Caenorhabditis elegans: one gene and its partner. The protein of the gene in region 2 purifies or fractionates together with the protein of the main gene of each other region. This does not show direct contact. Each region holds a gene or a part of one and is shown on either strand. Other genes may lie near its edges.

What was found.
Region 1: the proteins of acs-16 (region 2) and mam-3 fractionate together in Caenorhabditis elegans (co-fractionation; one large-scale study listed by BioGRID). This does not show direct contact.

What each region holds. Positions count from the first base shown.
Region 1 is NC_003282.8:13,442,259-13,447,756, forward strand, and holds the start of mam-3 (MAM domain-containing protein), read right to left. Parts: upstream 3,118-5,498; 5' UTR 3,009-3,117; coding exon 2,867-3,008; intron 2,148-2,866; coding exon 2,020-2,147; intron 1,589-2,019; exon of another isoform or gene 1,487-1,588; intron 1,244-1,486; exon of another isoform or gene 1,126-1,243; intron 1,058-1,125; coding exon 891-1,057; intron 503-890; coding exon 240-502; intron 1-239. Other genes in the region: uso-1 (Uso1_p115_head domain-containing protein), read right to left, coding at 3,774-3,917, 4,467-4,610, 5,034-5,498.
Region 2 is NC_003279.8:1,469,122-1,474,530, forward strand, and holds the start of acs-16 (AMP-dependent synthetase/ligase domain-containing protein), read left to right. Parts: upstream 1-1,953; 5' UTR 1,954-2,199; coding exon 2,200-2,253; intron 2,254-5,409. Other genes in the region: F47G6.3 (LEM domain-containing protein), read left to right, coding at 341-415.

The DNA.
Region 1 (5,498 bases), on a different chromosome or scaffold from region 2:
CTGGAATAATTAATTTTAGGTAAAATGGGAGTGATTGAGATATTTTGTTAGATTATGAAGAGTGAGGCATTGGATTTTTCTGGATGTTCAGTGAAAGTTTAAAACTTCTCTAACAAATCTAGTTTTATTTTGAAAAATTTACAGAACAAAATCTTTTAAAAAAGGATTAAAAATATCGTTTTTTTTGCGCGCCAATTTGATTTTGACTGCTTCATATCTCGAATAACTTTAAAACTTACGTGATTGCTGGCAAATCTTTCCGTGATATCTGATATGATCAATGATTGCCAAACTTCCAACAGTATTATCTTTGAGATCAAATGCTCGAATTCCAATTCTGAACGGTTCCTTAATCGGCGGAATCTCGACACGACATTCCTCATTGGCGGCTCCCAAGAAATCACACTTCATTTTTGGTCTGAGCAAGACTTGAAGATGACGTCTACGATTCATTGCTCGAAGGATGATAACTTCCACTTGAGCATTGTTGTATAGCCAGAAGCTAGAAGGATATAACTGGGATTATAATTTTATTTTGGAATCTATGTTAGTTAGAGCACAGTATTTTGCCGATCGCATACTTTGTGAGCTTTTACTCAGGCAACTCAAATCTAATATGAAAATATTAAATAGCAATATTTTTGTAGTAAAAACGAGAAATTGTGCGTCATATAAAGATTACTAAAAATTTCGATTTTTTTTTTTTATATCAGCATTTTTCAAACTATTGAATCATAGAAGAACGCTTAGTTCGTTTTTTACATATTAAAAAAAATGCAAAGACAGTAGAGATCTAAGCTTTCAAAGAAGAGCAAACACATTTTATTTCAAAAAAAATTTAGGCCCTCCAACTTTGTGCTTAAAATTCTTAAAATTATCTTTGACAATACCTGAAAGTCAAGTTGGCAAATCCTTTTTGACAAGCAATTGGAGCACTGCTCAACACTGCTCCATTCGGATTTTTCGTCGTATTTCCAGCAATTATAAAATGTTCGCCTTTTGGAATTACAGGATTTCCGGGCTGGATTTGAACTGGGAAAGTTTTCTCGTCATTTTTCTGAAATTGTTTAATTTTTTAAAAAAGTTTTGAAAAATTGTAAGTATAGAATTTATAGATTTGTCTAACAAAATCGTCAAAAAATTTGGAACGCTTCACGAATTTGCGTGTCATCCTTGCGCAGGGGCCATGCTAATCTTCTCTGTATTGTTCCAATTTTAGTATATGTTCTCGGAAGAACAAACATTTAGATTTACATTTCAATTATATAGGGACCATTAACAATGCAGCTGGCATATTTGGAGTTATGTAAGACACTATACCAAATGTAGATGTAGATCAATAATTTGTGCACCTATTCTATAGCGATACCAATATCGATTTGCATCTCCACTTCCCTAGCATAGTCATAGTGTCTTACATAACTCCAAATATGTCAGCTGCTGTGTAAATGGTCCCTATATAATTGAAATGTAAATCTAACTGTTCGTTCTTCCGAGAACATATACTAAAATTGGAACAATACAGAGAAGATTAGCATGGCCCCTGCGCAAGGATGACACGCAAATTCGTGAAGCGTTCCAAATTTTTTCTATAATTTTTGGTGAACTTTCCAATGGTTCTAAAGTTGAACTGTATAATTGAATTGTCTGAATAAATTCTCGAAATGTTGCCACTTTCAATCGAGTTTTTGAAATGTTTTTTTTTTGAAACTTTCAGTTAAAACTAGTTCATAAAACCAATTAGTTGCCAAAATTAGTTGGTATCTTTTACATATTATTCGTCTCAAAACTGAAAGCTAAATATTGTATATTATACCCTGGCCTACATATAGCGTAGGATATGGAATTTCACATACATTTTTATTTCTAATTGAACAATTATACCACATTCAAAGTTTGTATTCAGCGAAATCTATAACTGAGATCGTGACAAGACCCACTCAGAAAAGGTTTTATATTCCAAAAAAAGAATAGAATGGCACAAGACATTTGAAGGAAAGTTTTTCATGAATAACAAACCTTAAAATACCACCAATCACTGGTATCCAAAAGCTTATCAGTCGGCGCATTTCTCCAAAGACATTCGGTCTCAAAGTCACAGTTGAGTTCATCAGGTGACTCAATATACGTGGCAAATCCAACGGCCTCTGAAATCCACGTGATTGTGGTTTTTTTTTGCAGATCCTCGTGGTTTGATAATTTTAGCTGTTTAAAAACAAAAAAACACTTCACATTAAAATTGCTTATTTATCACTAATTTTTAAGAACGAATCTAAAACCAGATTTTTTATGAAAGTAAAAATCGGCTGATTTATTGTTGTTACATACTTTTGTTACAGAAATTAGCGAAATATTAGCGAAATCTGGATAAAATACCGTAATTTTACTACTACTGTACTACTGTAGATTTTGAAGTACTTCATTAAAAGCTCACGGAATTATTCAGACGGGCCTCGGCGCGCAAAAAAGTTTATGGTAGTTTTATTTGTTCATTGGATGTAGTATTGTATTTTTTTTCAATGAAATCACATGGTTTTCAGCTGTAATAAATCGTTGACAATCAGTTTTCAAAGTTTAAATAAAAATTAAACTACCGCGAACTTTTAATTCCGTGCGCCTTTAATAAGGAACTACAAAATCAAGTAAATTTCCGATAAAGCTTAAATTTTTGGAAAAAAAAATCTCGTCAAAATTCAGAGTAAATCCAAAAAAAACTGGAAAATGTTGAAAAAAACATTTTTAAAAAATCGGGATGTGGCCATAAATTATTGAAAAAAAATTGAATTTTTCCAAAAAATCGAAAATTTAGACTTTTTTCGTTCGGAGCAAAAAACAGTAAATTCCTTCAAAAAACCAAAAAACCAACCTTCCACAGGAATCTCTCCATTATTATCTGGCCTAATACCAAGATACAAGTCTAAATATCGAAGCTCTTTTTGAAATTGAGCATGACATGCTTCTAGAGATGGTAGAAAAATGAGCAAAAGTGCAAATTTCTTCCAGATCATTATTTTCGAGAGGCAAAAAGGGTGTGTACAGGCGAAGAACAATGGCAGATGCGCGGGCCAGGAGAAGCAGGCGAGAGGAACGAACCGGCTTCCGAATCACTATTGATATGGAGAATAGACGGGTTCGTTATATCATTTGATCATTCACCGAATCCCCATTCAACCTGAGAGAGAGAATGATGGATTTCGGAATCAATCAATAATTTATTTGGACCATATTTACTATTAAGTTTTACATAAATAAAATTGAAAGGAAAAAAAAAACATAATTTCGGTATCACAGAAGACAGTGTGGTTTGAACGAAATGGAAAGAGTAGGTAGGGATACAAAAAAAACAGGAAGAAAATATTTTGCCAGCAAAATCACGGCGAATACGATATCGTAGATTTACAAGATCTCTGAGATGTCTTCTTAAAGGCGCACGGTTTTATGGGTCTCGGCGAGCCCAAAAAAATTTTTATGGTATTTAATTTTGTTTATTTTCTTTGCATTTATCACATAAGTTAAAAATTGTTTTAAATCAGTTTGAGAAAAAAAAACAAGAAAGCCGAAACATATCTGAAAAAAACCTGTGCGCCTTTAAGAAGACACTTAAAAAATCCTGCGAAAGTACGGTGTATGCGTTATAAATTAAATATTATACAGGAAACCTATTCGATTTAAAAAAAGAAAAGTTGATTGGAAGTATTACATGTTCTATGACAAGATTGACCCCCCAAAGAAAACAAAAAAGAAACCCGATTTTTAGTAATCCCACAGCCTTATTACTCGTCCTCATCATCTGTCACTGGCTGTTTTAGGTTTCGAAGAAGGCGTCGGTAGGCTGACATTTTATTGTGTTGATCAGCGAGAAGCATCAGAAGTTCTTCTTGTTCTTGTTTCAGTTTTGAAAACTCTTCGGAGTCAGCCTGAAAATTTGAAATGTTTGAATTATTTTCACTGAGATAAAGCTCAAAAGCTACTCATCGAAACGTTTTTATTTTAGTTTTTTTCCAGAGAAAATTGAAAAAAAAATGAAAAAGTGGATGAAAAATCTGTAGCAAAAAATAATTTCTTCAGAAAAAATCGAACCAAAATTTAAAAGTAGTTTTTTGAAAAACGAAATAATTAATTTTTTCATAGAAAAATTATATTTTAAGTGTTTGATATTTTTAGAATTTTTTATTATTTTTTCAGCTTTTTTCAAAAAAAAAATTGAAATTTTATCAAGTTTTGCTCAAATTAACCTCAAATATATAACTATTTTTATATATATATATATTTTTTCCTTCTTAAAAAAAAGAAATCTGTTAAAAAATCAAGGTTTCGAAAAACTGAAATTTTACACATTTTTTCGATTTTTTAATGAAAAAATCGATAATTTTGGTAAGATTTTCCATCTTTTCCAATAAAATTATACTTTTTCAGTGTTTTTTCTAGAAATTCCTGAAATTTCGAAAATTCCACTCGAATTCTACCTGTGGTTCGTGCTCCACAACTATTCCATTCGAAATTGGCTTCAAATTCAATTGCTCAATTTTATAATTGGCTTCAGCGAGAGCAGCTTCCGTTTTCGCGAGTCTATCTTTAAGATTTGCATTCTCTGATGTATAGTGGAGCATCTGAAATATGTAAATTTTATTTTTATGGTTATTTTATTTTTTTTTGGTTATTTTTTTTATTTTAGACCAAACGGAAGCCGAAAAAAAATTTTTCGAATAAATTTAAGCATCGAATTGTTTTTTGGTTTTTTTTGATTTTCGCAGATTTAAATGTTTAGTTTTTTGATCCAATTGTGTCATTTTTCGATTTTTCGATTTTCCGGAAAATCGAAAAAAATTTCCGAAAATTAACCACAAAATATGATTTTACAAAATCAAATTTTTGTTTTATTGATGAGAAAAAAAATAAATATTTTCATCAAAAAAAGAAGAACCCTGACCAAAATTTTAAGCTAATTTTTGAAAAATCGACAAATTTTTTTTTCGAAAAAACGAAAATTTTCGATTTTTCGATTTTCTGATAAAATCTCCTGTCTACCATACCGTTTGTGATTGCTGTTCGAATGCCTGATATCCAAATCCGAGTTGCTGCTCCAACTCGTTGACTTGTTGCTGAAGCTGAGCCAATCCCGTCTCTACACCATTCGGAAGCTGTGCCAACTGATAGGCTTGCCATTGTTGAGCCCATTGCTTGTATCGTTCGGCTTCTGCATACCATTGTTGTGTGAGTCTCTGTGACTCTACTAGCTGACTATTCAGCACTTCATTTTGAGTTTTAAATGCTTCAGATTCTTCTAATCTCACACGAAGATTCTCAACTTCTCGTTCCATTTGCTTATTCTGAACTTCTGCATTTAATTTCTCAATCTCAAGACTCATTCGCTTATTGTCTTGCTTCAATTGGGCAATATCACCATCTTGCCGTTTTATGAGTTCTTTATATGATTGAATGATGCTATCATTGCTAGTTCCATTAAATTCTCCATTCGGTTTCAATTGCTTAGCCAA
Region 2 (5,409 bases):
CCTTTCGCGAGCCTCGATTAATGTCGGCTGCGTAATTCTGGTCAAAGTCTCCGCCCGTATAATGGTTTTTAAAAGTTAAAATGGCAAAAAAAATCATTTTGGAACTCCCGCGCAAATTATTTTTCTAATTTTTCTTTAATATATAAATTTAAGCATGGCTTCTCAAAAAAAAAACTTTATCCTAAAAATCGATAATTTTACTTTTTTTAAAGTTTTTTGTGTTCAAAAAGTTGTACTAGAACTTGACAATAATTTAGCCATTTAGAAATTTTTTTCAAAATAAAAATAAAGACAATTAAAATTTTTATAACATTTTTGCACTCAAAGTAGAATTTTTCAGGTCACTCAAACGGAACAGATTCTGAACATGAACTTTGATTGTCCGCCGAGCATTCTGATTGAAATGAGATCTTAAACTGTTTGAATTTTTTTAACATGCGTTTTTATAAAGTGTTTATTAGCCTGATTTAAACATTAAATATAGAATATTAAATTTAAAAAAAAAACAAGAAGTCATGATTTTAATACTTCCGTACATAGATTTAATACGAATTTGCTGAGATTTTTTTTTCAACTTTTCGACGGAAATTTAATAACTTTCAATAGTTGGTGATAAATCATTCTTTGTTCAAATTTTGATTACTTTTCCGAGGAAATGTAAAAATTTTTTAAATTTTATTTTCTTAATTTAGTATTAAATCCTTTTTTAATTTCAATTAAATTTTTAAATTTTTGGCAAATTGTAGTTTCGCGCTATTTTTTTTTGTAAATTTCAGATTTTCAATTTCAAATGGTAAAATTAAACGCATCCTTTGAATGCTCCTACTTTTTTTTAAAAAGTTAGCAAATTCTATGAAAAAATGTTGAAAAAACGGGATAAAAATTCAAAAGGACACAGCTTTTTAAGTGTTTTCGATATCCGGCAAACGGCAAATAGGCAATTTGCCGATTTTTCGAATTTGTTTACAAATCAATTTGCTGAACAGCAATTGCCGCCCACCCCTGTACTATACTTCAGAGGCGCGGCAATCGGAAATTTCCGGCAATTGCCGGTTTTTCAAAATTGCCGAATTTGCCGAAATTATCGACTGCCAGACATTGTTTGCAATTTTCAAAGCTAATTATATTTCGGAAATTGAAAAAATTTCACATTGTTTTTTAGTATTCGGTTGGTCATTTTCTAGAAGAAAAGGGCCAATCCTTAAAGGATTAAAATATTTTGAGGTTGAAAAAAGAAAACTGTTCATTAAAGGTGGGGTACCGAAATTTGGGACTTTGCTTTTTTAGAACCAAAATGACCAAAAACTACCAAATTTCGTAATGAGACGCTCTGAAACTTTTTCAAAAAAAAGTTATGGCCGCTCAAAGTTTTGGAAATAATGGCCTATTTTTAGCTAAATCTCAAATTTTGGCAACTTTTCAGTGTCACAGCGGTTGGAACTTAATTTCAATCTGATACATCTTTTGGCATTTTATTATGTGTTATTTCAAAAAATAAAATGCCAAAATATGCATTGAAGGATGATAATCAAATAAAAATTAAGTTCCAACTGCTGCGACACCGATAAGTTGCCAAAATTTGAGATTTTAGCTAAAAATAAACCATTTTTTCCAAAACTTTGAGCGGCCATAACTTTTTTATGAGAAGTTTTCAGAACGTCTTATTACGAATTTTGGTAGTTTTGGACCATTTTGGGTCTAAAAATGCAAAGTCCCAAATTTCGGTACTTCACCTTTAAAATGCATGTTTAGGCTCCTAAATCTGCAAAAAGTATCAGATTTATATTTTCGGAAATTCAGATTTCTGGCAATCGGCAATTTTTGCTATTGCCGAAAATTCGATTGCCGACTCCACTAGCTGTTTTCCCATGGTAACAATTTGACCTGAGAAAAGCTGACACCTTCTCAAGTGACCAGTCATAAGGTCCATCAAAAAACAATGATTTTCCCAGTTCCGATCCCATTTGTTGATTCTCAATCTCTCCCTGCTACCCCCCGTTACACAACAAATCCCTTTCATTTTTTGTTGTTTCGGAAGAAGCCCGTTGGTCCCTTCAAATCTCTGCGTCTCTCTCGAAAATCAATATCTCTGTGTGATTTCTCACAAACAGTTGGCGTTCCCGGCCGAGTGAAGACGAATCCTTTCGTAATATTATCTTGGCGCAGTGGAGTACTAGTAGTGTGTGTGTGTGCAAAGAGATGTCCGAGTTTTTTCAACAAACTTTTTGTATCGATTACAATGGATGGGTTACGGTAGGTTTTATATTTAAAAAAATTGAAACATGTTTTTTTGGGCTAAAAAAAGGCTTTTAAAAATTTTTAGATTTTTTTTTAAACTTTATGAAAATTTTTTTGCTGAACTCTTCATAAGCCTAAGCCCACACCTAAGCCTAAGCCTAGGCCTAATCCATAAAAAATTTTTTTTAACATTTTGGGCAACATTTTTTAGATTTCTTTAATTGAAATTTTCTGAAATTTTTTTTTTGCTGAACTCTTCATAAGACTAAGCCTAAGTCTATGACTAAACCTAAGCCCAAGCCTAAGCCTAACCCTCTTAAAAAGTTACAAGAAGGTTTTTCCTTGCGCTTGGAGCGCAAAAGAAAATAAAAAGAGCTATTTAGACTTAGGGTGCCCAACTGGAATAAAACATTGGAAATCCCAATCCAACCAGCCTAAGGGCCCGAAAAACATACTAGGATGCCCAACTGGAATAAAATATTGGAAATCCTTATGACACACCGGCGGTATGGCGCGGCTTAAGCCTAAATAGCCACTTTTATCAAAATACATTTGAGCTCGCTTTGCGTTTTACAATAACTTCTCAGACTCAAAAGTAATCTTTGTATATTTTTCAGTAATCTAAATGAAAACTATAGATTACTAAGAAACTTGGAGATTTCGTAATATTTGGGGGAAGCGAGCAACCTTTGGGGATATTTTTTCGTAGTAAAGTTATAGAATGCCATTATCAAAATTCCTATCTCATGGGAAGAAAAGTTCAAATTCTGTACCAACAGCTCGCCTTGCGTTTTACAATAACTTCTCAGGCAACTCAAAAGTAATCTGTGGATATTTTTCAGTAATCTAAATGAAGATTATATATAAGAAACTTGGAAATTTTGTAATATTTGAAGGGATGCGAGCAATCTCTACATATTTGCGATCAACCTTTGGAGATTTTTTAAAGTAAAGTTATAGAATGCCAATATTCAAATTCTCATGGGAAGAAAAATTCAAATTCTGTACCTGCGTATTATTTTTTACAACTCCGTTCTTTCCACAAGAAAGGCCTTCTTCCCATGAGACAGGAATTCAGATATCGGCAGTATTCATAGGTACAGAATTTGAACCTTTTTTCACATGAGATAGGAATTTTATATCGATCAAATTAACCCTCCAATAAAGTGAGACCTTTGATGAATATAATCACTCTGATGATATTTAATTCCGATGATTAATCCATTTTTCTTTCTCTCACATTTATGAACTAAAATGATTACTAAATTAAGGCGTGATATTCTAAGGTGTGATAACATATGATATTTATTTTTAAATTTAAATAAAGTTTTTTTATTATTTTTGCTAAAGAATGAATAGTTTACAACCGCCTCGCTCAAATGTATTTTGATAAAAGTGGCTATTTAGGCTTAAGCCGCGCCATACCGCCGGTGTGTCATAAGGATTTCCAATATTTTATTCCAGTTGGGCATCCTAGTTTTTTTCGGGCCCTTAGGCTTAAGTGTGTCATAAGGATTTCCAATATTTTATTCCAGTTGGGCATCCTAGTATGTTTTTCGGGCCCTTAGGCTGGTTGGATTGGGATTTCCAATGTTTTATTCCAGTTGGGCACCCTAAGTCTAAATAGCTCTTTTTATTTTCTTTTGCGCTCCAAGCGCAAGGAAAAACCTTCTTGTAACTTTTTAAGAGGGTTTCATATATTTTATTAAAATCGGGGCGAAGCCCTGATTTTAAATCCATATTGTTTTTTTTTGTCTTCCTCTATCCCTGCAAATAGGAAAGATAATGTGTTCTTTCTGATGAAGTAAAAATCATCATAAAATCTTGAAAACTGAGAGCAGGAGGTAATATTTGAATATATTGGGTCGTAAATGTGTGTCTCTCTGTGGGTGGGGTGGCGATGTGTTGGCAGCCAACCCTTCAACGAACTGTATCTCCCGCCTGTATCTCCCTTCAAAGTGAGAATTGGGTTACAAAAATTTGAGGGAATATGAAAAAAGGTGTGAGGATTTTAAAAATATTATTGTTGAAACACCAGACCAAACCACTTTTTCTGGGCAAGAGGCAGAAAATTAATTTTTTGAAAAATTTCAAACTGGCACAAAATTTTTTCAAAAACAAATTTTCACAAATTGTTGAAAGATTCCATTTTTTATCAATATTGTTCATTGAACACAGAAAAGAAAACAAAGATTCATCAAAAAATGAGTGAAAAATCGCAAAAATTCGAAAAAATTAGTGCTGAAAAACTCGATTTTTTGGCGGTGCTGAAAAAAAAAAAAAAAAAAAAAAAAATTCACTAAAATTTTTTTGAAACTTAGTTTTTCGGATTTAGCGTCAAATTTTGAATCTATAAAAAAAAAACAAAATTGAAATTGATCTCAGATTGAGTGAATAATAAACGCTCAAAGTTGAAAAATGAACAACCCAAAAACGGCAGTAACTTGCTTCAAGGTCGGTTATCTCAGTGAGTTTTCACTCAATTTTCGAAATTTTTTTGCTCTATCGCTTTAGAAATATTTGTAATTTCATTTTTTTTCCTCAAAATCAAAATATCTCAAACGACCGCCATCCTACGAGAAGGGAAAAAAAAGTTTTTGGAAAAAAAATCAAAAATTTTTTTTCCAAAGATTTCTCAAAGACAACAGCGCACGAAGCGGTGGTTTGCGAAAAAACACGAAAAAAACACACCGAAGTGGGAGGGGGGAGGTCAAAATTGCGAATTTGACTTTGGAGCTCTCTAAAAGAGCTCATAGCTGATGGATCTGGATGATTTGTATGTTTTTCGACGCATCTCGTCGAGTACTATAAACTGCTGAAAAATCTCGTAAAAATCGCAAAAACTCGAATTTTCCTGCAAAAAAAAGAGGCGAAAAATGAGAAAAAAAACGTGATTTTTGGAGGATACTCGAAAATACTCTTCATATCTCGGCTCAAAGAGCTCCAATCTTTCTGAAATAAAGCATACAGAGGTGGGGCAAGCTTCTTGAAGAGAGAGCAAAAAACCGCATCAAAATCGATCCACCCACCGTCAAGTTACACGCGCTTTTTCAGAGTGAACGAAAACAGGGCATAAAAAAATTTAGACGCCCGCACCCGGACTCGAACTTTTTTCTAATTTGCAAGCTTAATATCTCGGCTCCTGTAAATCGAAATTGGCTCAAAATTCAC